3 linked regions of the Arabidopsis thaliana genome follow. The protein of the gene in region 2 interacts with the protein of the main gene of each other region in a pairwise test. Each region holds a gene or a part of one and is shown on either strand. Other genes may lie near its edges. The genes, in order: GATA17, AT4G16750 and MYB62.

The links.
Region 1: the proteins of AT4G16750 (region 2) and GATA17 interact in a two-hybrid assay, tested with the Arabidopsis thaliana proteins (one large-scale study listed by BioGRID).
Region 3: the proteins of AT4G16750 (region 2) and MYB62 interact in a two-hybrid assay, tested with the Arabidopsis thaliana proteins (one large-scale study listed by BioGRID).

The regions. Positions count from the first base shown.
Region 1 is NC_003074.8:5,761,319-5,769,408, reverse strand, and holds GATA17 (GATA transcription factor 17), read left to right. Parts: upstream 1-4,648; 5' UTR 4,649-4,832; coding exon 4,833-5,021; intron 5,022-5,273; coding exon 5,274-5,657; 3' UTR 5,658-5,912; downstream 5,913-8,090. Other genes in the region: PPR40 (pentatricopeptide (PPR) domain protein 40), read left to right, coding at 1-1,008; AT3G16880 (F-box and associated interaction domains-containing protein), read right to left, coding at 1,579-2,676; COBL8 (COBRA-like protein 8 precursor), read left to right, coding at 7,305-7,845. UniProt on the Arabidopsis thaliana protein: Transcriptional regulator that specifically binds 5'-GATA-3' or 5'-GAT-3' motifs within gene promoters.
Region 2 is NC_003075.7:9,417,879-9,425,775, reverse strand, and holds AT4G16750 (Integrase-type DNA-binding superfamily protein), read left to right. Parts: upstream 1-3,918; 5' UTR 3,919-4,115; coding exon 4,116-4,655; 3' UTR 4,656-5,125; downstream 5,126-7,897. Other genes in the region: ACX1 (acyl-CoA oxidase 1), read left to right, coding at 1-109, 204-273, 370-553, 637-846.
Region 3 is NC_003070.9:25,599,117-25,607,175, forward strand, and holds MYB62 (myb domain protein 62), read left to right. Parts: upstream 1-4,559; 5' UTR 4,560-4,725; coding exon 4,726-4,879; intron 4,880-4,967; coding exon 4,968-5,097; intron 5,098-5,191; coding exon 5,192-5,768; 3' UTR 5,769-6,065; downstream 6,066-8,059. Other genes in the region: AT1G68300 (Adenine nucleotide alpha hydrolases-like superfamily protein), read right to left, coding at 1-145; AE7 (MIP18 family protein (DUF59)), read left to right, coding at 696-837, 1,268-1,361, 1,446-1,545, 1,872-1,917, 2,026-2,123. UniProt on the Arabidopsis thaliana protein: Transcription repressor of phosphate (Pi) starvation-induced genes. Negatively regulates Pi starvation responses via the repression of gibberellic acid (GA) biosynthesis and signaling.

The sequences.
Region 1 (8,090 bases), on a different chromosome or scaffold from region 2:
GCTGTGTTGTATTGTCTTTCAAACAACTCAATGGCTAAAGAGACTGGTCAATTCTTGAGGAAGATAGGTGAGAGAGGTTATATTCCGGATAGCTCAACATTCAATGCTGCGATGAGTTGTCTCCTAAAAGGGCATGATCTTGTTGAGACTTGTAGGATATTTGACGGTTTTGTCAGCCGTGGAGTTAAGCCAGGATTCAATGGTTATCTTGTGTTAGTTCAAGCTCTGTTGAATGCTCAGAGGTTCTCTGAAGGTGACCGGTATCTGAAACAAATGGGTGTTGACGGGCTTCTATCAAGTGTATATAGTTATAATGCGGTAATTGACTGTCTCTGCAAGGCTCGACGCATAGAGAATGCAGCTATGTTCTTAACAGAGATGCAGGATAGAGGTATTTCTCCGAATCTCGTAACTTTCAATACCTTTCTGAGCGGTTATAGCGTGAGGGGTGATGTAAAGAAGGTTCACGGCGTGCTAGAGAAGCTTCTTGTACATGGTTTCAAACCAGACGTGATCACTTTCAGTTTGATCATAAACTGTCTTTGCAGAGCAAAAGAAATTAAAGATGCATTTGACTGTTTCAAGGAGATGTTGGAATGGGGTATTGAGCCAAACGAGATCACATACAATATCTTGATTCGCTCCTGTTGTTCCACCGGAGATACCGATAGATCAGTGAAGCTGTTTGCGAAGATGAAGGAAAACGGGTTAAGTCCAGACCTTTATGCGTACAATGCGACTATTCAGAGTTTTTGCAAGATGAGAAAGGTTAAGAAGGCTGAGGAATTGCTTAAAACAATGCTGAGAATTGGTTTGAAACCAGATAACTTTACATATAGCACTCTCATCAAAGCTCTAAGTGAATCTGGAAGAGAGAGTGAAGCAAGAGAGATGTTCAGTTCAATCGAAAGACATGGATGTGTTCCAGATTCATATACTAAGCGTCTTGTTGAAGAACTTGACCTAAGAAAAAGTGGACTCTCGAGAGAAACCGTGTCAGCCTCATAGAAATTGAATCCTCGAGAGTGTGAATATCCTATGAAGGCTTAGAAACCGGAAAAGTGGGTTCGTTTCATTTGGAAATGTCTGAGAAAGAACCCGATCTTTGCCACGGGTTGCCTCTTTGATGCAGACGGAAGAGAAACAGAACATGAGTGCAAAATGCAGAACAGAGTATTAAGTTTTGTTCTTTTGATTGATCAAAGCTTTTATATATTTCTGAGTCCGAGAAAGTGGCGGCAATAGTAATGGCAGTTGGTTGGTACTTGACAGTCAAAAGGCAAAAGATTTTGTATGTTTAGCACTAGATAGCCTTGGCCCTAATTTATACCCTTACCGTGTAACAGTTTAGGAAACAACAGTTTTGCCAGATTATATTGGACATGAGTATTGAATGATTTTGTTGTTTCGATCTCAAACTAGTATGCTTAACAATCTTTTTTTCAACGTAAGAGATGAGAAACGAACTAAGAATAGACCAATATTGTTCAGGAATCAGGAAGCTGAGAAAAGAAGACAAAGCAAGAGTAGTAGTAATTAAACAATGCAAGAACCAAATATTTGGGTATTGTAAATGGACTAGTTGCTTTTGCCTTTTGCCAGTTGCTTGATTTCCACTGAACTTGGTACATAAGAGCACCTAACAGGAAAACTTTCAGAATCTCCGAGATCCACTTTTCTGAAGTATCCATTCTCTCCAATGATGTAAGCTGTGATACGGTTTCTCATCTCTTTGTCCTTATCAAAAACCACAACTACTTTCTTCTCCTCGTCAATGAAGAAAATTCCATCATCAATAATGAGTGGTTTCATGTCCACTGTTAAGAACAACTTTCCCCACGACACATTGTTGGGCTCAATCTTGTTAGTAATCCATATCTCCATCCTTGATATATTGCAGCGGTGAAGTAACACTGCAAGTTTCTCTTCTCTAACACTAGAGAGAGCCACAATATCTCCACAACGAGAGTGGAACGGCAGAGGCAGAGTCGGTCCAAATCTCTCTGTTGTAAAATCAAAAGAAATCAAGAAGTCACCCCTATAATCAGTATACGTATAAGAATTTCCTTTCACAGAGACATCCATTTTATAAAAGGCTGTCGCCCAATTGGAATTGACATCAAGAGCCCTCCATGAATTAGAGTCTAACTCATAGATTTCGTAGTCAACACGTTCATCATCAATATTTATATAATTGTGTTCAGAACTCAAAATTTTGTAGCTGCGGCACGATTTTTTCGTCTCGTATCCAATAGCATATATATATGCGTGATGGCTTCTAGGTTTGATCCACCGAGTTTGCCCCAAATACGGATTCCAAACCACATCTCTAGTGTTACTGAAGCTTTTTGTGATGCATACCAAACCACCGCAATGATAGACTCGACACATACCGATTGGGTTAATAATTTTACCATTACACTTTATAGATGGTTCAACGTCTTCTTCCTTGTTGAGATTGATGTTCATTAAACAAAACTTAGAATCCATCATCATGATCACCATAAATTCCTTGGCAGCTTTTGTTTGAACGAGTTGCTTCTTTGTAAAGCTTTCTTCTTTGGCTAAAGTGTTCCACTTTTTGCAAGTCAATCGTATTGCTCTCATAGAATACAGTGGACTTCTAGAGAGTATCTCCTCCAACAAATCATTCGGAAGTTTGGACATCTTTGTCATTGTTTCAGCACTCAAGGATGATCAATGTAATAGAAATTTAGGGTTTTACTCTCACGCTTTCCTAATCTTTTTAATCGACAAGAAATAAGTTAGGTAACAACTTTATATGCCAACTTTCAAAAGTTATTTCCGTGAAAAAAGAAAAGGAAACAATAATTCTTTTTACTCCCTAATGGGCTAATTAGTATAATTAAACCACTATAGTGTAAAAATTAAGGAAACAATAATTCTTTGGCCAGATTCTATTTTACATGAGCATTGAAGGACTTTAGTCTTGTTTACCTCGAACACTAAATAACAAAGGTTATATTTTATAGAACCCAAAAAACAAGTCTTTATTAGGTCTTTACGTCTTTATCTCCTCCAACAAATCCATTGGAATATTGGATATCTTCGTCATTGTCTCAGCAAGGTTTCGATGATGTAGAAAATAGGTTTTTTTTTTTTGACTTCATAGAAAATAGGGTTTTTTAATTTAGAGTTATATAGTCAAATAAGTTACGTTACTTTTTTATGCGGCGACCTTCAAAAGCTCTTTCCAGTTCCAATTTTCCAATTTTGTTGTATTTTGTACTAATTTCCTATATTATGGTAAAGGGCTTGTCTATGGAATTAAGCCCAATCTTTTAACTTTATAATCGGTCTTGTTTTTTGCTGATGGTTTCTGCAATGTGGTTGTTTGAGGAGCTTTGTGGTCCTAACTTGGCATCCAAGGAAGAAAACCTTGTCTTTGTAGAACTTTGAGGTTAATTTAGTCCTACAACTGCGAGGTTAATTTCTTTCTTCCTTAATAATCTGCTTGGCAAAGGGTCATATCAATGCTCAAGTACGAGTTACATTGATACACAAAGAATTTCAAATATTGAAATTATCTCATCTTATTGGTGAAGTCTTACATATGTTGCAGAGTGAAGCTCCAGAACTCACCCAAAAAAATGCTCTGATGCATACGAAGGAAACTCATAATCTCACTCTTTGTCTTGATGATAAATATGTTTGGTCATTGGTGGTCAGGTCTCAAATCATCTTTCTGTTGTGATATGATGAATTACTGCATGAATATGTCAAAGAGAAACTATCTTCTTTTTCATGTTAAAAGAACACACTGATTAACAATTCCTCTAGTTCCTCTATTACTAACAGAAATGATCATTGAAAAATTAAACGGAGGCTGATCACTTTTCAATTCCATCATATATAAACTGTTTGGAATAAAATCAAATATGCCTTAGTTAATAATTCATACAAGACATGAGAATACAAACTAATTTTGGATTTGCACTAAACTTGAAACATAAGTGGGGAAGAAGTTATGTTTGAAGATTCTTTGAAATTCACTTTTTTGAAAATATCCATCCTCACTCCAATGTTTAGAGTTCACACCGAACATCTTCGTAAGACCAAGATTGAACAAACCTCAAAACTTTGTGGTTGAGGCCGCATGATTTGTCATCCACGTATCCTATGCCATACTTAATCCTACGGTGACAACTTAACGGTTCGAACCACCGGGTTTTCTTTGTGGGTAGGTGCATCTGTACTGTAATTTCTTCTTCTGTAGCTCAACTAAAAAACTGTACTGCGTTATCATGCTCATGGGCCTGGACTATCAAATTGAGCCCAATGGATATTTATCTTACAGAATTTTGCCATTATTTTTTTGTTTTTTTATTAATAATCCAGTCATCATTCATAAGTTTTTAAAAAATTCATTTGTTGCATTGATTGTAAATAAAACCGACGTAAAACTTTATTAGTTTATTATAAATTTTGACATTAGAAATAAAATAAAACCAAAAACTGAAAAAAAAAAAAACGTGAAAACAGATTATTGTCAGGACAGCGACCAATAACAAACCCTAGCCGCAAAATTTGAAAGCGGCTAGTTTTAAAAAACAAAAAATCAAAACATTGTTTCAGATTTTAGTTATAAGTTTTTGGGCGGGTGGCACAAAATTAATAAAAGCTCCCGCTCGAGGGTATTTTAGTCAATTCAAATAACCCGAAATACTAGGGTTTCCGCCCCCGCCTTCCTCCTCAATTATAAAATTCCTCTCCGTTTGTTTAATTCTGTTGCTACTAACCGCCGTCTCTCTCTCTCTCCCTCTTCCTTATCATCAAAACTTGCTCTGCTCCGATCTCTTAAAAAAAAAAAGATGTCTGAGGGATCAGAAGATACGAAAACAAAACTCGACTCTGCCGGAGAGTTATCAGATGTTGATAACGAGAACTGCAGTAGCAGCGGAAGTGGCGGTGGTAGTAGTTCTGGTGATACCAAAAGGACTTGCGTTGATTGCGGAACTATCCGAACTCCTCTTTGGCGTGGTGGTCCTGCCGGACCAAAGGTGAGATTTTTAACTAACCCTTTCATTTCAATCTTCTTATAGTCTATTGGGTTGTTGTTAGATTCCGATCTAGTAGATCTAATCAATGGATCGCGAAATAGCATCTATATTATGCATGATCCTATTTTAGGTTTTATCGTTTTTCAAATTTATTTAGGTGATGAATCAATTTAGTGACCGGAAAGATCTGATCTCATATTGCTCTGAAGTTCAAATTTTTCTTATTTCTTTGGTTTGTCTTTTGCTATGTAGTCATTGTGCAATGCTTGTGGGATCAAGAGTAGGAAGAAGAGACAAGCAGCACTTGGTATGAGATCAGAGGAGAAGAAGAAGAACAGAAAAAGCAATTGCAATAATGATCTAAACCTCGACCATCGAAACGCCAAGAAATACAAAATCAACATAGTTGATGATGGCAAGATCGACATCGATGATGATCCGAAAATTTGCAATAACAAGCGTAGTAGTAGTAGTAGCAGTAACAAAGGAGTGAGTAAGTTTTTGGATTTAGGGTTTAAAGTACCGGTGATGAAGAGATCAGCGGTTGAGAAGAAGAGGTTATGGAGAAAACTCGGTGAGGAAGAAAGAGCTGCTGTGCTTCTCATGGCTCTCTCTTGTAGCTCTGTTTACGCCTAAGTGTTTCTCTGTATTAGGTCATAATCAAGTGAGAGCGATTTTGATTAACTTAATTAGATAGAGATAATATGTAATGAATGTGTAAGTTCCTAGTTTTTTGGTTCCACTAATGTTTTGTGTTCATTTTCTTGATGAATTCAAATATCAACACTTTTTTTTGGTTCTTAGTCATTCAATGCCATAATAATGAGAATTGGTCTTAATTTTTAGTGCCTCAAATGTCATTCTCTGTGTATGGGCCCATATGGCCCAAGATATTGGGCTTTATCGGGGGAATCGTGAGGCGCGTGATTCTAGTTGTCTTGTCTCCGTCAACTCCACCATTTTTTTGTTTTTTGGTCCATTGATGTCGTTTTTCATTTGATTTGAATTTTTATATGCTTTTGAATTCACAACTGGTTTCAAATTCAGATTTTGTATGGTTTAGAGTTTTTTTTATATATATATCATGCTGAGGTTGTATACTTCGATTTGTTTTTTCATTTTATTGAAGGATGGCAATTTTTCGATTTGCACTTGGCAGAGTATCTGTTTGTGTGATTAAAAGTTGTTATGGTAACTTTGTAACAGGGACAGTGTAAATTTTCGATTTGCAATTGGTTTTGTTTTTCATGTAAGCGTATGATTCAACCTTAATAAGCCATCATTAATAATTAATAATGGTGGACCAACAAAATTTTAAGTAATGTTAAATATGGCAAAGTCATGAATCATACTTATAATTTTTTTTTAAAAATCTAAAGTGGTGACGAAAATATAATTCATTTAAATGGATCACTGGTGGACGAATGGTGTGAGTGTGACATGGCTAGGTAGAGCCGTGAACCTCGAGAATGATTCAAATTAACGGGGCAACTTCGTTCAACGGGGGACTTTCTTTTGACCAAAGCTTCTATTTATGTGTTTCACCCTTATATTATGCAGTTTCTTCGATTTAGGACCATTACTTCCATTGATTCCTTTATTTTCCTAAGCAAAGAGTACAATTTAGGAATAACTTGTCGATATTTTCCATAAACACCATTTCTTAATTTTGGAGATACGTTTTCCTTATTATTTTTCACAAATTCAAACAAAATCTTCATAATATATTTTAGCTATCAAATCACACTCTCAATACATTCAAAACTTCCATAAACACTCTTAGAAATCACTAAAATTTAGTAGACAGAAATATCAGTAAATATTTGAATATAAGTCATTTAAGCGAACATTCTATAAACTGTGTTTGGTATCAATGTTTTATAGCTAACGATTAGGTGTAAATTACACATTCACATAATTACTAAGATATAGGTTGGGGTTGCATTTTTTTATTAACAGAAATATATGGTTCATCTTGTAATTTGAAAACTTAAACCCACTATTTTATAATTTTGTCAGAAGAACAAAACCTTGTCTTTGGCTTTTGTTCGTAACCTTTGTTTACTTGATCAAGAAAAAACATTAAAATCCGACCAAACAAGGAAATATACACATTTTCAACGCGGACATAAATTTTCATTACAGCGTCTTACTAAGCTGTTCTGTTCTTTAACGCGGTCTCTTCCTCTCTTCAAAATTAAACTTCCGATTTTTCACCTTTTCATTTCCAGAATTTGTTTTTTAAAAAAGAGATTTTTGTGAGTGAAGAGATTTAGAGTAATCATGGGTTTAACTCGAAATTTCATTTTATGGATTCTTTTGTCATCTCTCTTCACGGCGATTCAACTAACGTCGTCTCAACGCAACACTCCACCACCACGCTCTAAAGACGCCGATCTCTGCAACGGCGTGTTCGTTTCCTACACTTACTTAACCGGTACCAAGATTAAACCAAACGACACGAAGAACCAGCCGTACCGGTTCGAATCAGAGATCACGGTCCTAAACAACGGCCGCGACGAGCTTAAATCGTGGCAAGTCTTTGTTAAATTCGCCCACCGCGAGATTCTTGTTTCAGCGACCAACGCTGTTCTCTCTGACGGTTCTAGCCTCCCGGCTAGCGTTGAGAACGGGACAATCTTCGCCGGGTTTCCATCGGCGGATTTGAAGACGGCGATCATGACGGCCGGCGACGTAACTCAGATGGAAGCACGTGTTGAGCTCGTGGGTACTCAGTTTGGAGTTGCTCCGCCGAGTGTTCCGCTTCCGAAGAACATCACTCTTGTTAATGATGGATGGTCTTGTCCTAAACCCACTCAACAAGGTATCAAAATCATCTGAATCTTATGACTTGAAATCTTGAGATTTTTTAATGTATTTTTTCATTTCTCGTTTAATTGTTCATAATTTTTTTAATGAATTGTTGCAATTTTAAATATTATGTGATCTTGGGTTGCTTATGAAGGCATTACCAAGAGTTTTAAAAGTCGAGCAATATGATCACATTGACCAGGTCTATTTGTGATCAATAGAGTGGTTGAAAAATTCTATTGTTTATATAGATTTCTT
Region 2 (7,897 bases):
GAGGATTGGTTAAACCCTGATGTTGTACTGGAAGCTTTCGAAGCTAGGGCTCTCAGAATGGCTGTTACGTGTGCCAAAAATCTCAGCAAGTTTGAGAATCAGGAACAAGGTACTCTTCTAACTCCATGAATCCAGAACAATTGGTTGCCATGTCAGCTCATAAGCCAAAGGACCAAACTCTCACAAATTCTTCCTGTCTGCAGGATTCCAAGAGCTCTTGGCTGATTTGGTTGAGGCCGCTATTGCTCATTGCCAATTGATTGTTGTTTCCAAGTAATCTTCTTCTTCACCGTTTACACGTATCAAACAAGTTAATGATTCTCCCTCTCAATGTCAGTTCCTGAATTTTGTGATCTTTGTCTTGGTTAGGTTCATAGCGAAACTGGAGCAAGACATAGGTGGCAAAGGAGTGAAGAAACAGCTGAATAATCTGTGTTACATTTATGCTCTTTATCTCCTCCACAAACATCTCGGCGATTTCCTCTCCACTAACTGCATCACTCCCAAACAAGCCTCTCTTGCTAACGACCAGCTCCGTTCCTTATACACTCAGGTTCTTTCTTCCTCTCTCTCTCCATCTCTGCATTTGATTCCTTTTTAAGCTAAGTTTTAACACGTTTTTGTTGCTTCTTTTAGGTCCGGCCTAATGCGGTTGCACTTGTGGACGCCTTCAATTACACCGACCATTACTTGAACTCGGTTCTTGGCCGTTACGACGGTAATGTGTACCCAAAGCTCTTTGAGGAAGCGTTGAAGGATCCATTGAACGACTCGGTGGTTCCTGATGGGTACCAAGAATACCTTCGACCTGTGCTTCAGCAGCAACTTCGTACCGCTAGGCTCTGAAGAGTTTTCTTTGCTTGATACTCGATATGGTTAATCACATTAGACTTGCTTCGTCCTTCTTCTTCGTCTTCTTCTTCTTCTCGCTTTGAATAATTTCGCAGTTTAAAAACTGGCGATGCCCTTATTTATATGTAGCAATGTAATAGTTAATGTACGATCGTCATATGGCGGAATTTTAGTACTATTTTTCGTTTTCAATGCAACATTAATACAATTGATCGTTTCTACTCTGAGAAGGATATGTGGGATATTTGTAATCTTCGTATATAGTCCAATCACATATATTGACATTTCTCTATTGCTTTCGTTAAGATTGTATTATGTAATATATAGGGTTAGGGTTACTTAGGCAAAGTTATTTCAGAAATTATGCAACTTCCATTGTAGAAATTTTTTTTACTCATACGCTGATATTTTAAATAACTGTTCACTCCGTTTTAATTTAGTTGTTGTTTTATCACTTAAGTTTTGTTTTATAATTATTGTTTTGGATTTTCAATGCAGATATTTTGGTAAAAATTTTAGTTTTATCTTCAAACTTTTAATGTCTTAACTAATTAAAAAGTTAGAGAATATATTGAGCATAAAGTAAAAAATTAATTGTTTTCTTAATTTTTGTGCAAAACTTTAAACGACATGTAATTTAAAACAGAAGAAGTATAATTTTTAAAAATGTAATTAAGCTGTAAGAAACAGTGGTTTGTAAACAAAAGAAACCTGTTTTTCATATATCCTTCCATTAAATTTTCACCAAAAACAAAGTTTGGGAGTTAACCCACGATTTCAATGTAATGCGTCGTAGGAAGAAGAAAAATTTGTTTGCAACATCAATATGAAAGAGAAGTTTGCTTAAAATGAAACATGCATATGGAGTTTTCAGGATTGTGCTTTGTTTCAATTAGCATCATTTTCCGACAGAAGACTTCCAGACCTTTATATTAATTAAGCATTTAATAACCGAATTTGGTAGGTAAATTAAAATAGAGCAAACTAATGTTTTGGTTGTAATCACCTTTATCAACCAACTGTTTTAAAAAAACTAAAAAAGAGTTTCAAAAGTGGCATTTATCTTTCATTTTCTAATGGTTAGTAGTTAAAGTGTTTAGGGAATTAAGACATCGACCCGAATTAAATTTTACTTTTTCTAATATATTTTCTTCACCAAGCTAGCTAGCTAATCTGACTTTCTACTTATTTATTCCCTTATTTAAACTTACGTACAGTTTTAACTTTTAAGAGTGTGTCTGTATATAAATCCATTAATCTATATATTATGATATTTATCTTAAATAAATATTATTGGTCGAGATATTTTTATGAAATCTGAACAGAAAACACTCCAAACAATTTACAGTACTTGCCAAAAAAAAATTACAGTAAAAAAATTCTTGATTTCATAAAAAAATCACTCAATTTGTTTACTACTGAATAATCAACATATCTCTATAGTCTTTTCACTTTTATGTAAAACGTTTATTTTTATTTTTATCTTAGTCTTAATCGTCAAATGGACCCCACGATAAAACTAATACGTAACTTGCTCCCTCTATATGATAATGTATACATTTTCAACATCATACTTTGTACATATACTGATATACACTACATGTGTTTACGTCGTTTTGCGTACGTGTGTCGTCCACAGCAATCTTCACTCAAATTCTTTACTAAAAATGCTTAATCTTTAAATTCTATAATATATCAAAAAAACTTCTACAATTATTTAGGAACGTATATCCGCAAATGTGCATAACCTAATCCGTCTATTAAGCAAACGTCCAAGTAAAAAACATTGACTGACAGTTGTTAAATAATATATTTTAAAAAAAAATTATCGTTACTAATAAATGGCTAGTGGGTTCATTCCAATTCTTTCACTTTTATTAATAAGTCTATGTTATTTTATGTCAATATTTAACATTTTCGCATCAAAATGGAGTATATAGGACATACTTTAACGGTTTAACCCCTGCTAAAATGACAAGAATTCAGATATTCAATAACGTGATACAATATATAAAAATATATAGATTATATATATAAACGTAAATACTACTATTATTACCTGAGGCATTTTTTAATGAGTTAACTCTTAAGACGAATTTTATTTTATTGCTAAATTAGTTTTATTTGTCGAAATGTGAATTAAATTAATTAATAAAAAAAGATATTTACAAAAGTGTTTGGTCAAGAAAAGAAACAGAGCAATAATATCAGAACCAAAACCAGAGAAACTTATGAAACAGAGCACACAAAGCTAACGAACTAGGAGTTGCGTCTCGACTGAAACCATAGCTGAAGTAGTCCCTGGAGGCTGGAGCTTCCGATTTTCGAAATAGTGTAGAGGCGTATACTGCTAAATTAATAATGAGATTTAAGATGTATTAATATTAACCTTGTCTTTGTCAAACTTAATCCGAGTGAAAAACGTGGGTTAGCTTTGTAGGCAGACATGGGTCATGGTCGGGCAAACGAAAATATGACATTTTTGGGAAAAAAACAAAAGACGGAAATTAGAAAAATTGTAAAGTAAACTAAAAGTAAATTCGGGCCCACAAGTTACAATTGAATCTAATTTTTTCTAAAATCTACTGTACTGTGAAAATGTCTACACAAACAGAAAAAAACAAATGATCTCAAGTTATATCCACATGTAGTAACTGGTGGATCTACTCGAAAATAGATATTTCAAACTTCAATGAAACGATGGCCAAAGCATATGTCAGAACTTTAAAAGAAATATTATATTATAATTTTAGATAAAATTCTGTTTTTTTCTAACCAATATATTTGTCTAAAAATTGGTTCAAAACCAAACAGAACAAATTAATTTAAATATCGATTTCGGGCTGTTTCAAGTACGTATTTTTTTAATTTGGAAGAACTTGGACGATTTAGGAGAAACGAGTGATAACAGTACACTAGAATGTTTACAAACGAACAAGTGTCCAATTCAGGTATAAAATAATGAATATTATAAAGTAAAGTAAATATCATTGCAAGCAAAAACAAAAAGAAAAAAGAAAAAAATCTTAATGTAGTCAAGTCTCTCTTTAGCTTTTAATATTTGATTTATACATAAAAGAAAAAACATACACACAAGAATAATTGCTTCGTATTTGGATGTATATATTAGAAAGAAGCAAACCAATCTCTTCTCCTCAAAACTATTCCTACTCTCACACTCCAAAATACCAAAAACAAAACATTTTTTTTAATCTTCCCACCAATTTTTTTCTCTTTCTCTCGTTACATTAAATTATCTTTAGATGCAAGACTCTTCCTCTCACGAATCGCAACGTAACCTCCGGTCACCGGTGCCGGAGAAAACCGGAAAGAGTTCTAAGACTAAAAATGAGCAAAAAGGTGTTTCTAAACAACCAAATTTTCGTGGGGTCAGAATGAGACAATGGGGAAAATGGGTGTCTGAAATTAGAGAACCAAGAAAGAAATCAAGAATATGGCTCGGTACTTTCTCTACGCCGGAGATGGCGGCGCGTGCACACGACGTGGCGGCTTTAGCCATCAAAGGTGGCTCTGCCCACCTTAATTTCCCGGAGCTAGCTTACCATTTGCCGAGACCGGCTAGCGCGGACCCTAAAGACATTCAAGAAGCCGCCGCCGCAGCAGCTGCCGTTGACTGGAAAGCACCGGAGTCTCCGTCTAGCACCGTGACGTCATCTCCAGTCGCCGACGACGCTTTCTCCGATCTTCCTGATCTTTTGCTTGACGTGAATGATCACAACAAAAACGATGGATTCTGGGACTCGTTTCCGTACGAAGATCCTTTCTTCTTGGAAAATTACTAGAAGGCAAATTCTTGCCGGCGAACGGATTTTCCGGTGGTTTCCCGGTAAATAAGAAGACGATGTCGTTTTGTACCTTTTTTGTCTACGATGGGAAATTTCTTTTTTTTTTACGTGTGAGTAAAAGTTTCCGAATGTGTGATGTGTAAGTAAGTACAGGTTATTTAATTTCTTTTTTTTGTACAAATACGTACGTCATTACCAAAAAGTTTTCATTTATTGTGCTTTTATCTTCCAAATTCATTAAGTGTGTGTCTTGACCCTTTATTTTCACATCTTTGAGTTCTGACAAAGACTCTAACTTTACTCCCATAGAGCCGGCAAAGAATATATACATTTAGGGTTTCTTCGAAATCTTTTTTTTTTTTGTAAACATCTTCGACATGTAAATGTAAAGATCAGTATTTTCATGGTTAACATAGATGACTTATGACTTGTATAGTTATTCGTTATGTAACCCATCTCAAAATCAGGACATTTACTTCTCATTATTTGCAGATAAGAAAAATATAGCATGGAGTATATTTTTTTTTATTTCTTGACTGTATGGTCTATTACATCTTTTATTGTGACATTTATAATGATAGTCGATATAAGGATTTTTAATATCTTTATAATAAATTAGAAACCGAACTATATATCCTCCCTTAGTATATGCTCATGAACATTAAGCTCGGCCGCATTTTACCATTTGAAAAGCATATATTAAAATGGAATTCGTTAAAACAAATTGTTTGTATATTGAGAAATCTAGCAGCCAAAGTCACAGTACGGTACGTAGAATACAAAGAGAAAATGGCAAATTAGTACAAGAGACAAACTTGATGGTCTTTTCTGTCATTCTCTATTTTCCACTTTTATTTTCTCCCTTTTTCGTATCATCTTATTGGCCCTTATAAAGTTGAAAATTAAAGGACCTATTGGCCCATTTATCAATTAAATGTATGGTGTATTTAATGTATGTATAGTTAGTACTGATTTTCATTCTTCTGTGCAATTAGTGTCCTTACTTTTTCTCTAATCATTCTTATTATATTGCTTTTAGCAAATTTAATCTAGATAGAGGGTTTTTATAATTCTTTGAAATCAGTTCCCTGAATATTATATTCTCTCTGTCTTATACTTTTCTTTTAAGGTTCACATCAAACTTTTCGTTATTAGTTCAACAAAATTGAATGTTGATTATTAATTTGTACATATTCATCTCGTATATTTATTTATATCTGCTATATATTAGACGTAGCATAACTGTCCAAACTATGGAATGAATTATGAAACATTTTAGATCATCTTTTGATGAGTATGCGTGTTTATGCATAATCCCTTTTTTTTTACACACCCAGCGTAGATTTCTGATCGAAACCCAAACTAAAAAATATAGAAAACTAAAACTTCTTATTATTTAAGCAGATGCATAATTGCTTTAATCATGTGCATTGTCTTACCAAAAAAAAACACAAAACAAATGTGCATTGTTTTCTCTACTAAAGAAATATATTGCATGTTGACTTAAAAACTCATAGATATTCTTTTATGTTTATAATACTATTAAAAACATACTGTATTATTGTGTAAGAGATTTTATTTTATTTTTTGGTTAAAAGCGGATACAGTCATATAGTTACTAAAATAGACGAATGTTTGTGAAAAAAACTTTGTTTACGACTTTACGAGCATTTGTATTTGTCATGACCATTTTTTATGAAAAAATGTTTGCCAACGAGAGAGAGATACCATCACATAGTCATATATGCAAACTTTAAAAATGTCTAGTTAATTATACGGAGTGTTGTTATCACATACGAACACCTTCAAACAAACATAAGTCATATTTACACAAAGGACAATAATTTATGTAGCTAGCGAGATATTTTTAAAGTTTAGATATCTTTTTTTTATACTTTTCAAATATTGTCTTTATTGGTAACTTTTACAAAGATTCAACTTTTACCGTGATGGTTGAAGATTTTTAGTTAATCAAATTCGTCCTTTTAGTGTATAGGAACAATTATAAAGTTAAGCAAATTTATCTCTAGAAGACATTTTTGAAAACCTTAAAGACATAAAAAAAATTTTTTTAGTAAAATGTGAAGTTAAATGCTACATAATTGTTTAAAGCGAATTTCAAAATATATTGCGTGGTTGAATTTATTCATTATAGAAAACATCAGTTGAATTTATTCATTTTAGAAAACATTAGTTGTTTCAAATTGCTTTTAAAGTATTGTTAAATAGACCGTTGGAGAGCAGAAATGTAGATATTTTTTAGTAATGTGTTCTTGATAAGATAACGGTTATTTGTTTTGTTAACTAACTGATATATAAAACTTAATTCAAACATTTCATTCAAATCAAAAAGATGACTAAGACACTTTGTGTCGCAAATTCGAACACGCCTACTATGGGTTTTGTACGGACGCTTGATGTAGATCATGTTGTGTAATGAGCAGCAAATATCGAAGCACCATCCTTCCTTCGTAACAATATTTGAAAAATACTCCTGTATTAAAGATGATTAATTTTATTTAAAATATCGTAAAATTCGTGTAAAATATCCTTTATGTGGGAGAGTGTGAACCACGTATTGCATAGACCAAACAAAAAAATCATTGTTAAATAATAGCAACAGTTATGAATATGATTGAGCGTTGATGCTGCATGCCTGCATTCCATATGTAATTTATCTATGGATGTCATGTCAGTAACGATTTTCAATTTATTTATTTAATTGATTTGATTATACAAAGTGTCATCATTAATATATTGCGTCTAGAAACTAATCTCATATTCATGTCGGCTGTGGATTTTTAAGTTCGACCTAAGTGGCTACTTACGAATTAAAAATTAATTAAATATTTACTTTTCTCTATTAATAGTTGATGTTTATAAAAATATTTTTGAGAGCTCATAACTATCTTTTGGAGTAGGAAGAATATGTTTGCAGGATGGACTCATTCTAGTGGATTCCTTTCTAAAATTATAGGCCTAACCTATGATATGTCATGTATTCGATCATAGAGGATTTCGATTGCTGTCGAACATTTGAGATGGACTGCTTAGAACTGCTATCGATGGCTCAATGTCCGTCGGATTGGACAGCAATTTTCAATACTTGGGATAATTTTTCTTGGTTAAGCAATTGGTTTAATTGCTCTGTTTTCCCTATTTACGTATATTAAATTCTCAAACAGACCGTTTAATCCTTAATTTCAAAGATATGATTGTGTTTAAGCCTTACGTAAACT
Region 3 (8,059 bases), on a different chromosome or scaffold from region 2:
GTTGAGCAGTGAAGAGGATGATGTCGGAATCGGCGAGGCTATCTTTGAGATACACGAGCGTCCATTGAAGAGCGCGTTTACTACATTCGCTTTCATCAATCGCCACCATCACTTGCTTCATCACGCTTTTCTCTTCTTCCGCCATGGTTTTCTTCTTCTCTGTGATCGCTCCGATGACTTGGTGATTTGATTTCTCTTCTTTGAGAAAAGTCAGAATGATGACGTGTCGATTGTGTAGAGGAAGGCACGAGGTTCTTCTGGAGATTTTGAATTATTCGATGGGCCTGATCCAATTTCGGGTTTCTTGTATCAGGTCCAGAGAAAGCCTATAACCTCGTTGTTCTTATTGGCTCATCGGATTCCAAATTGGCGGCGAGGTTACACAGACCTACTCCTCAAATCCTTAACGTACTCGTAAGCCCATATCCGATTTTTCTTTTCCTGTAAATTTAAATTTTCTTACAAATTTCTCAAAATCGCAAAATCTTTGCCTCTTTCTTCTCTAATCGAACTAAATCTTAAAACTTTGCTGATTGATTGATTTTCGATTCCGGTATGTATCTTTCTTTAGTTTTCAATTCGCTGCTTGCTTCTTCCCTGGGAATTTTAGGGTTTTTAGGGTTTTGTAATTTCCGATTGAAAAGTTTCGTGCTTTACGAGTCTCTGTAACTCAATTTTTGGCAGGGAGAAGAAAAATGGTATCTGGGTTGATTAATGAGAACCCTATCATTTACCCAAAGAAAGAGAGGCGTCTTCGTACTGATACAAGCATTACTGATGAGCTTACACCAGAACCAATTGATCAACTTGAGATTTTTGATATCCTTTCTTCATCAAGTTTTCTTAGAACTACTCTAATTGCAAACCTTAATTGGTGAATTGGTTTGATTGTGTGTGATTGTGAGGATGTGATTATCGTCTTACAGCTATTAGCATCTGAAATTAAGAGTAGCTAGTGTATGCATAGGTTTTGGAACAACTTGACATGCCTCTTAGCTTGAAGTTTGCTTCTTTACACTATTAGAAGTCATGAATCTTTTGTTCTCATATGCATATCTTTTCGAAGTAGGTGTTGGAACCATTTGACATGCTTCTTAGCTTAAAGCCTACCTATGAATCTTTTGTTCTCGAATGCTAAATTTCTTGTAATTATGCGTGGTATCGGTTTGGTAATCTGTGAACAAATGGAATCTATGTTTTAGTTGATACAGAATGATATTGGATTATTTCTGTTGTTTTCTTTAACAATACACAAATCATATAAGAGATATCAAAGATCCAGAGCATCCTAATACTCTGGAAGATCTCAGAGTAGTTACAGAAGACTCAGTTGAAGTGGATGATGAGAACAGTTATGTTAGGTAAAATGTTGGGATTGAACGTTTTGTTATGGATTTTTAGTGTTCCTTTGAGCCAATCTGTTGAGCTCTACCATTTCTTTTCAGGGTTACGTTCACTCCAACTGTCGAACATTGTAGCATGGCAACCGTTATCGGTCTTTGTGTCCGTGTGAAACTTCTACGAAGCCTTCCTTCTCGATACAAGGTACAAAGCTTTCTTGTTATTTCATTTCTAAGATTTTCCGGTTCCCTTTTCCTGTAAGTTTGTCAAGATGATCTTCTGAGCCCATTTTCTGATTTATACATTATCGAGAGTGGTTTGAACGTAACTGAGATCCAACACATGTTCTCCTTGTGATGATATATGAGGCAGAGAAATTTTTTAATTTTTCATTCTTAATCAACTGTTCTTGATACTTGCGAAGAGAAGATAGCCCTAGCCTCTACTATATATAGTTAGGACTGCCTTAAAACACACTCGCACAATGTTTTATGTGCCTCAGTCCTCTGAAACGAATCTTCATTTTTCAGATTGATATAAGGGTAGCACCTGGTTCTCATGCAACAGAAGATGCATGTATGTCATTTTTCAATATCTATCCATCTTTTTTGGTATGCATGTTTTGCTTTACATCGAGTGTACTTCTTTAACATGATGTCTGGTTTCTTGGTGTTTAAAATGCAGTGAATAAACAACTAAACGATAAAGAACGTGTGGCGGCTGCACTAGAGAATCCAAACCTCGTGGAGATGGTTGATGAATGCCTGCCATCAGAAGAGTGAATTGCTTTTATTTTCTTGTGAGCAAGTAATTTACACAAGCCTGGTGGTCTCAGTTTACACTATCAATACATGTCTCTGTTTTATTTGCAAAGATTTTGATCCATCACATCGACTAGGACTTGCATTGTAATACTTACTCTGATTTCAAGTTTGTTCTCAATCATTTCAATAAAGTCTCAAACACAAGTTCTTTTTAATAAAAGTTGACGTGTCATTTCGATTTCAAAGTACATATACATCAATCAAGTTGGGAACTTCACATCTCTCTCTCTCTTAATGCATTATTACAAAGTCAGCAAATTGTTTATGAAGCAAAAAGCTGTTTTCTTCTTCTTCTTCTTAGATGTATTGATATATGAAAAAGGAAACAACGATAATGAGATGGATATTTTTGGAAAGGATATGTAAACTTGAAACACACACTTTCTTTTTGTGTCCCAACTTATCTTTAGGTTTTCGATTATCCAGAGTATATGATGTTTATTGTTTCGTTGTATAATGTATGGGACTCGAATCATACTTTAACAAGAATCTTGTATATAGCAACTTGGTCTCAAGATCAACCTAGTTGCATAACTTGTAACCCTCCGATAGAATCTTGCAATCATATATATCTTGTAGATGTTGACGAACTCGAGAATCGGGTAACAATCAATCATCTTCTTTTGTAGTCTCGTGATTTGATTATTGTCGTCGTTAATTGTTATGCTATAAGTAGAGTTTAAATTTGAAAATATGCGTATGTGAGTTGTAGACGACAAAAAATATTTAAATTTGTTTACGTTAGTCCAATTATATGGATAATATTTGAAGGAAATGAATGTAACTGTAATTCTATAGAACAAAAATGACTGTTACTAATAACATAGTAACAATTATGTCATTGTTGATTATATAATAAGAGAGGATAATGAAGACACAAATGTCAAATCGACTTTGTTTTCTTTATTCCTGGTCTTTAGGCTTTATTTACATGTTGTTTTGGTTTTTGGGAGTTATCATCTTCAAAAGATTGGGTTGAACAGTAAGTGAGAGTTATTAGCAATACCATAAGTTTTAATACATGCACATAGACATTTTTTGACTTGCCGGTGTAAAGCGACACGACCCTTCCTTATTTTTCCAAAATTATTATTTGTTTAACAAAATATTATACAATACGATTTGAGCTAATGAAAACTAATATAGGAAGAAGAATCTTTGAATATTCAAAGTTTGAAAGGATAATATGCTATACTAAGTCCGCATAAATTAGCTGGCTTCTAGAAAATTGTTGTTAAAAATAGCTGTCTTCTAGTTTTACCATTTACATAAAAGTTACAAGAATTTATATCATTCATTACACCATATGTAATATATGGATATGAATTCGGATGATGCCACATCGACCACAATAGCTCAAAGCTACTAAACAAAAAGTCTTGACTCTTGATCAAACATTTGGAGTGTTTATTCCAATTTTTGGATTGTTTTGGTACAATTTTTATTTAATCAATAATTTGTGGGACAGTGGTTTATTAGGTTTTGTAATATCTTGTTTGTCTCGAGTCAAGACACATGTATCATGTATGCTTCTTGTTCCCATACCAATAATTATGTTAAACTATGTTCAATCTCAATATTCAGCAACATTACCAAATAGAAAACCAAAATTTTTATAAAAACTGTTAGCCAAAGTTGGGATAAAGACAATTTTAGAAGTAGAAGAAAGAAAAATGACTAGTATACACTATCACAGAGGTAAGAGTTAAAAATGAACTCTATAGCATATTATGAATATGACTATTGTAAACTTTTCCTGTATAGTTAATTTAGTATTTAAGAATCTAAATCGTACTTTCTTCTTCCAAAATTCTGTTCCATATTCTTTTCACGTGAACATCTAATCCATAGAGTTAAATCACCAAAATTCCATTTCTGTTTCATCGTCGCATAAAAAAGTTTATGAAACTGTATCGATATATTCTATGCTTCTAATGAATTATATACTTGGACCAGGGTTCATCGCAGGATTCGACTAATCCAAAACTTTTTTTTTTAAGAAAGTCATATTTAACTGAAACAAAAACCAGATGATTTAAAAAAAAAATGTTTGCATATATCATATATGTGTTGGCTTTTGAACAATGGTAGCTCGAAAAATAATTTCAGAAAAATTGCATGCGTAAGATGAAAACAGAGACGCGATTAAGAAAATGTCAATGAGATATTTTGTGATAACAAATACTAATGAGTTAAAACATGTTTTTTGACAATTTTAGAATGTATAAATGTCCTTGGCAATGTTAAAAAAATAACAATATTTTGTATGAGTTAAAAAGAGAAGCTAATTTAGTAAAACAATTTACTTTAATTTGGAAACGTGTGATAATTAATTTTTCATTGGAAAAAAGCAAGCTGATGGCTAAAGTAACAACATTTTCCAATACCACGACCACGAGTCTATAAATTCCCAAGAACCTGTTGAATCACTTTCACTTCTCAAAGCACCTAAAAGTCTATCTCTCTCTCTCTGTATACAGTCATGCATGCATAGAGCTTAAAAGATACGAAAACACCACAAACCAAATATCATTAAGTAATTAGGAAACTTAAACTAAGTATGGAAAATTCGATGAAGAAGAAGAAGAGCTTCAAAGAAAGTGAAGATGAAGAACTAAGAAGAGGGCCTTGGACTTTGGAGGAAGACACACTTCTCACAAATTACATCCTCCATAACGGTGAGGGTCGTTGGAATCACGTCGCCAAATGTGCTGGTAATTAATCAAGAACTTGATATTGGTTTATTAGTTAGATTCTCTGACTTTACTATATAATCACTATCTTTAACAAAAATGAGAACAGGGCTAAAGAGAACTGGGAAAAGTTGTAGATTGAGATGGTTGAATTACTTGAAACCCGACATAAGACGAGGGAATCTTACTCCTCAAGAACAGCTTTTGATCCTTGAGCTTCACTCTAAATGGGGTAATAGGTGAGTGATGAGTCACTTTCATATCTCAAGAGTCTTTTATTTTCTTTTTTTGTTTTTTTTTTCTTTTTTCCTAAACGAATATTTGTTATCTAAGGTGGTCCAAGATTGCACAGTACTTGCCAGGAAGAACGGATAACGAGATCAAGAACTATTGGAGAACAAGAGTTCAAAAACAAGCTCGTCAACTCAACATCGAATCTAACAGCGACAAGTTCTTTGACGCTGTTCGTAGTTTTTGGGTCCCTAGATTGATCGAGAAGATGGAACAAAACTCATCCACTACTACTACTTATTGTTGTCCCCAAAACAACAACAACAACTCTCTTCTTCTTCCTTCTCAATCTCACGACTCTTTAAGTATGCAAAAAGATATAGATTACTCGGGTTTCAGCAACATAGACGGTTCTTCTTCAACTTCTACTTGCATGTCTCATCTAACAACAGTTCCACACTTTATGGATCAAAGCAACACCAATATCATCGATGGCTCGATGTGTTTCCATGAAGGCAATGTTCAAGAATTCGGAGGATATGTTCCTGGCATGGAGGATTACATGGTAAACTCGGACATCTCAATGGAATGTCACGTGGCGGATGGTTATTCAGCGTACGAGGATGTTACACAAGATCCCATGTGGAATGTGGATGACATTTGGCAGTTTAGGGAGTAATTAAGTCGTCAAGAGATGAGATGGTAGAGCCTACCACTACGGTTCTATTATATGGACTAATATACTTCTTTTGCTTAACTAAGCAAAAAGTTTCGAACCTTTTACCCATATTATCTCGGGTTGGAGACTAGAACATGTTAAATTTGTATCTTCTTTGTTGCGAGTACTTACTAAGTCATTGGATAAATATTTATAATGATAGTTTCTTGTACAAGTCTTTGAATTCATGAAATCTTTTATCAATGTATGGAATTTTATGAAGTTTTAAACTTTAATCATATTCTTTTCGGATTGGAATTGAAACATGTTAAATTAGTCTAAATTTTTCCTCTTAGTTGGTGATCAAAGTCAATGTTTGGATAATTATTTATAATGCTTGTTTGTTTGTTATATAAGTCTTTAAATTCAAGAAATCTTGTATCAGTGTATGGAACTTCAATTTATGAACTAACCAGGTCAATTTTATACATGACTAGACTTAAGAGTAAATAGTAAAGGGTAGTCTCTTGTCTTGAAATCTTTGAGACTTGTGTGGATTTTAGTGAGAAGAAAACATATCTAATCTCACCTCAACAGGTGAAATAACCCAAAAGCTAGGAGAGTCGATCTATCCAAGATATTAAAATGATGGGGATAGAGACTCAACCATCTGTCCCTTCACCAAATTTGATGTGTTTCTTTGTAAGATCGTTGACAATATTACAGGGCATTTGGCTTGATTGACATAAATCGTTTTTTTGTGGAATTAACGAATCATAAATAATAATAAAAGAATTGATTACATAGTTGAATGCTCTTACATAAAGTTTTAATATATACGCATTTAGACAAACCATACAAAAGTTTTAATATATGCGCATTTTGTATACCAGCAGTAATCAATGTTGGTTCAAGAAGATAATAGAGACAAAGGACCCATCAATTATTTATTATAATTATCTGAAAAGAGCTTCAACTAAAATGATAGAGAAAGGTGGCTTTGGAGAAGTCTTGTTAATGGGATCGAATTATTGGAGGTCACTTCAAAAGCCTTTCATAAGTACATGGAAACTCCACAATGATTTGAACCCAAAGGGTACCACTAAAAGTTGGAACAAACATTGATGCACTTTTGAGAGGTTATGAACGATAGATCACACTCATTGTGTATGTAAAGATTTTAGTATTTCAGACAATATACAAAAAAAAAAAAAAAAAAAATTCCTTATGATCGAATCCAGAAACGTAGATGGTCCTGCTATGGACGTGGAATTATAAAATTGTATAACTTAAAGATTAAATATCTAAAACTGGTGGATAAACGCCAAATACTTTTAGAAAAGACATGAGTAACGTGGACCCAATTTGAATAGAAACATTACTGTATAGGTCAAATATTCATTAATTACGGATATATGTTAGTTGCAAAAAAATTTCAAATTTTGTAAGAACATAATCCACGCGGCCAAATCATTTGCATCTTCAAAATTCATTTCCAATGACAATGATCTATATATTGTGGAATTTTAATTGCATAAAATCATATATATTTTGAAAAATGTTTTTAGTCAAGTAGTTAAGTGTCTATTTTTGCGGTTTTCTCCAGTTACCCTTACCCACACAAAATAAAAAGTGGGCTATCGATCGGACCTTCTCGACTGATATGGTATTAGAGTGAAACCAAAAAAAATCATATTTTCCCAACTTAACAAGCACATTTATTTTAATCACTGTAATCGAAATTCTCATGTTCAAAAAATTTTTGGGAAACAAATAAAGTGAAGTCATGTTTGGTCTACATATCACCAAGCTTAATCTTTATATTGTCTGAATAGTTTATATATCTGCGGATTGGTCGACCATACAACCAGGCAGATAGTGAGACCAAACCTTGATCTTAAAATAGGCAAGTTCAATTTAAAGTGTCGTAGAACTGTATGGCTTGTTAAGGTCGAGATGGGCCAAACTAACATTTCTACTGCAATACTCATTTATCAAAAATTTGGAGATACGCAGAAATATCAAAAGTTATGAACCGAAATCGATAGTTCCATCGGTTGAACCCGAAAAGAACATCAGGGAGAAAAAGACCAAATATTTCAGTTCACACAAAATATATTAACGTACAATGTTCTAATCTTTAGTTTGGAGAAATATGTCTTTTAAATTACTTTTTGGTTAAGAAATACTACAAACCAAAAAAAAAAAAAAAAAAAAAAAAAAAGTCTTACTACAAATAATGGGGAAGTAGAGTGGGTGGCACTGGTATATTAACGTTGGTATGGTTAGGTAGGCCGTAGGTTAGTATGAAA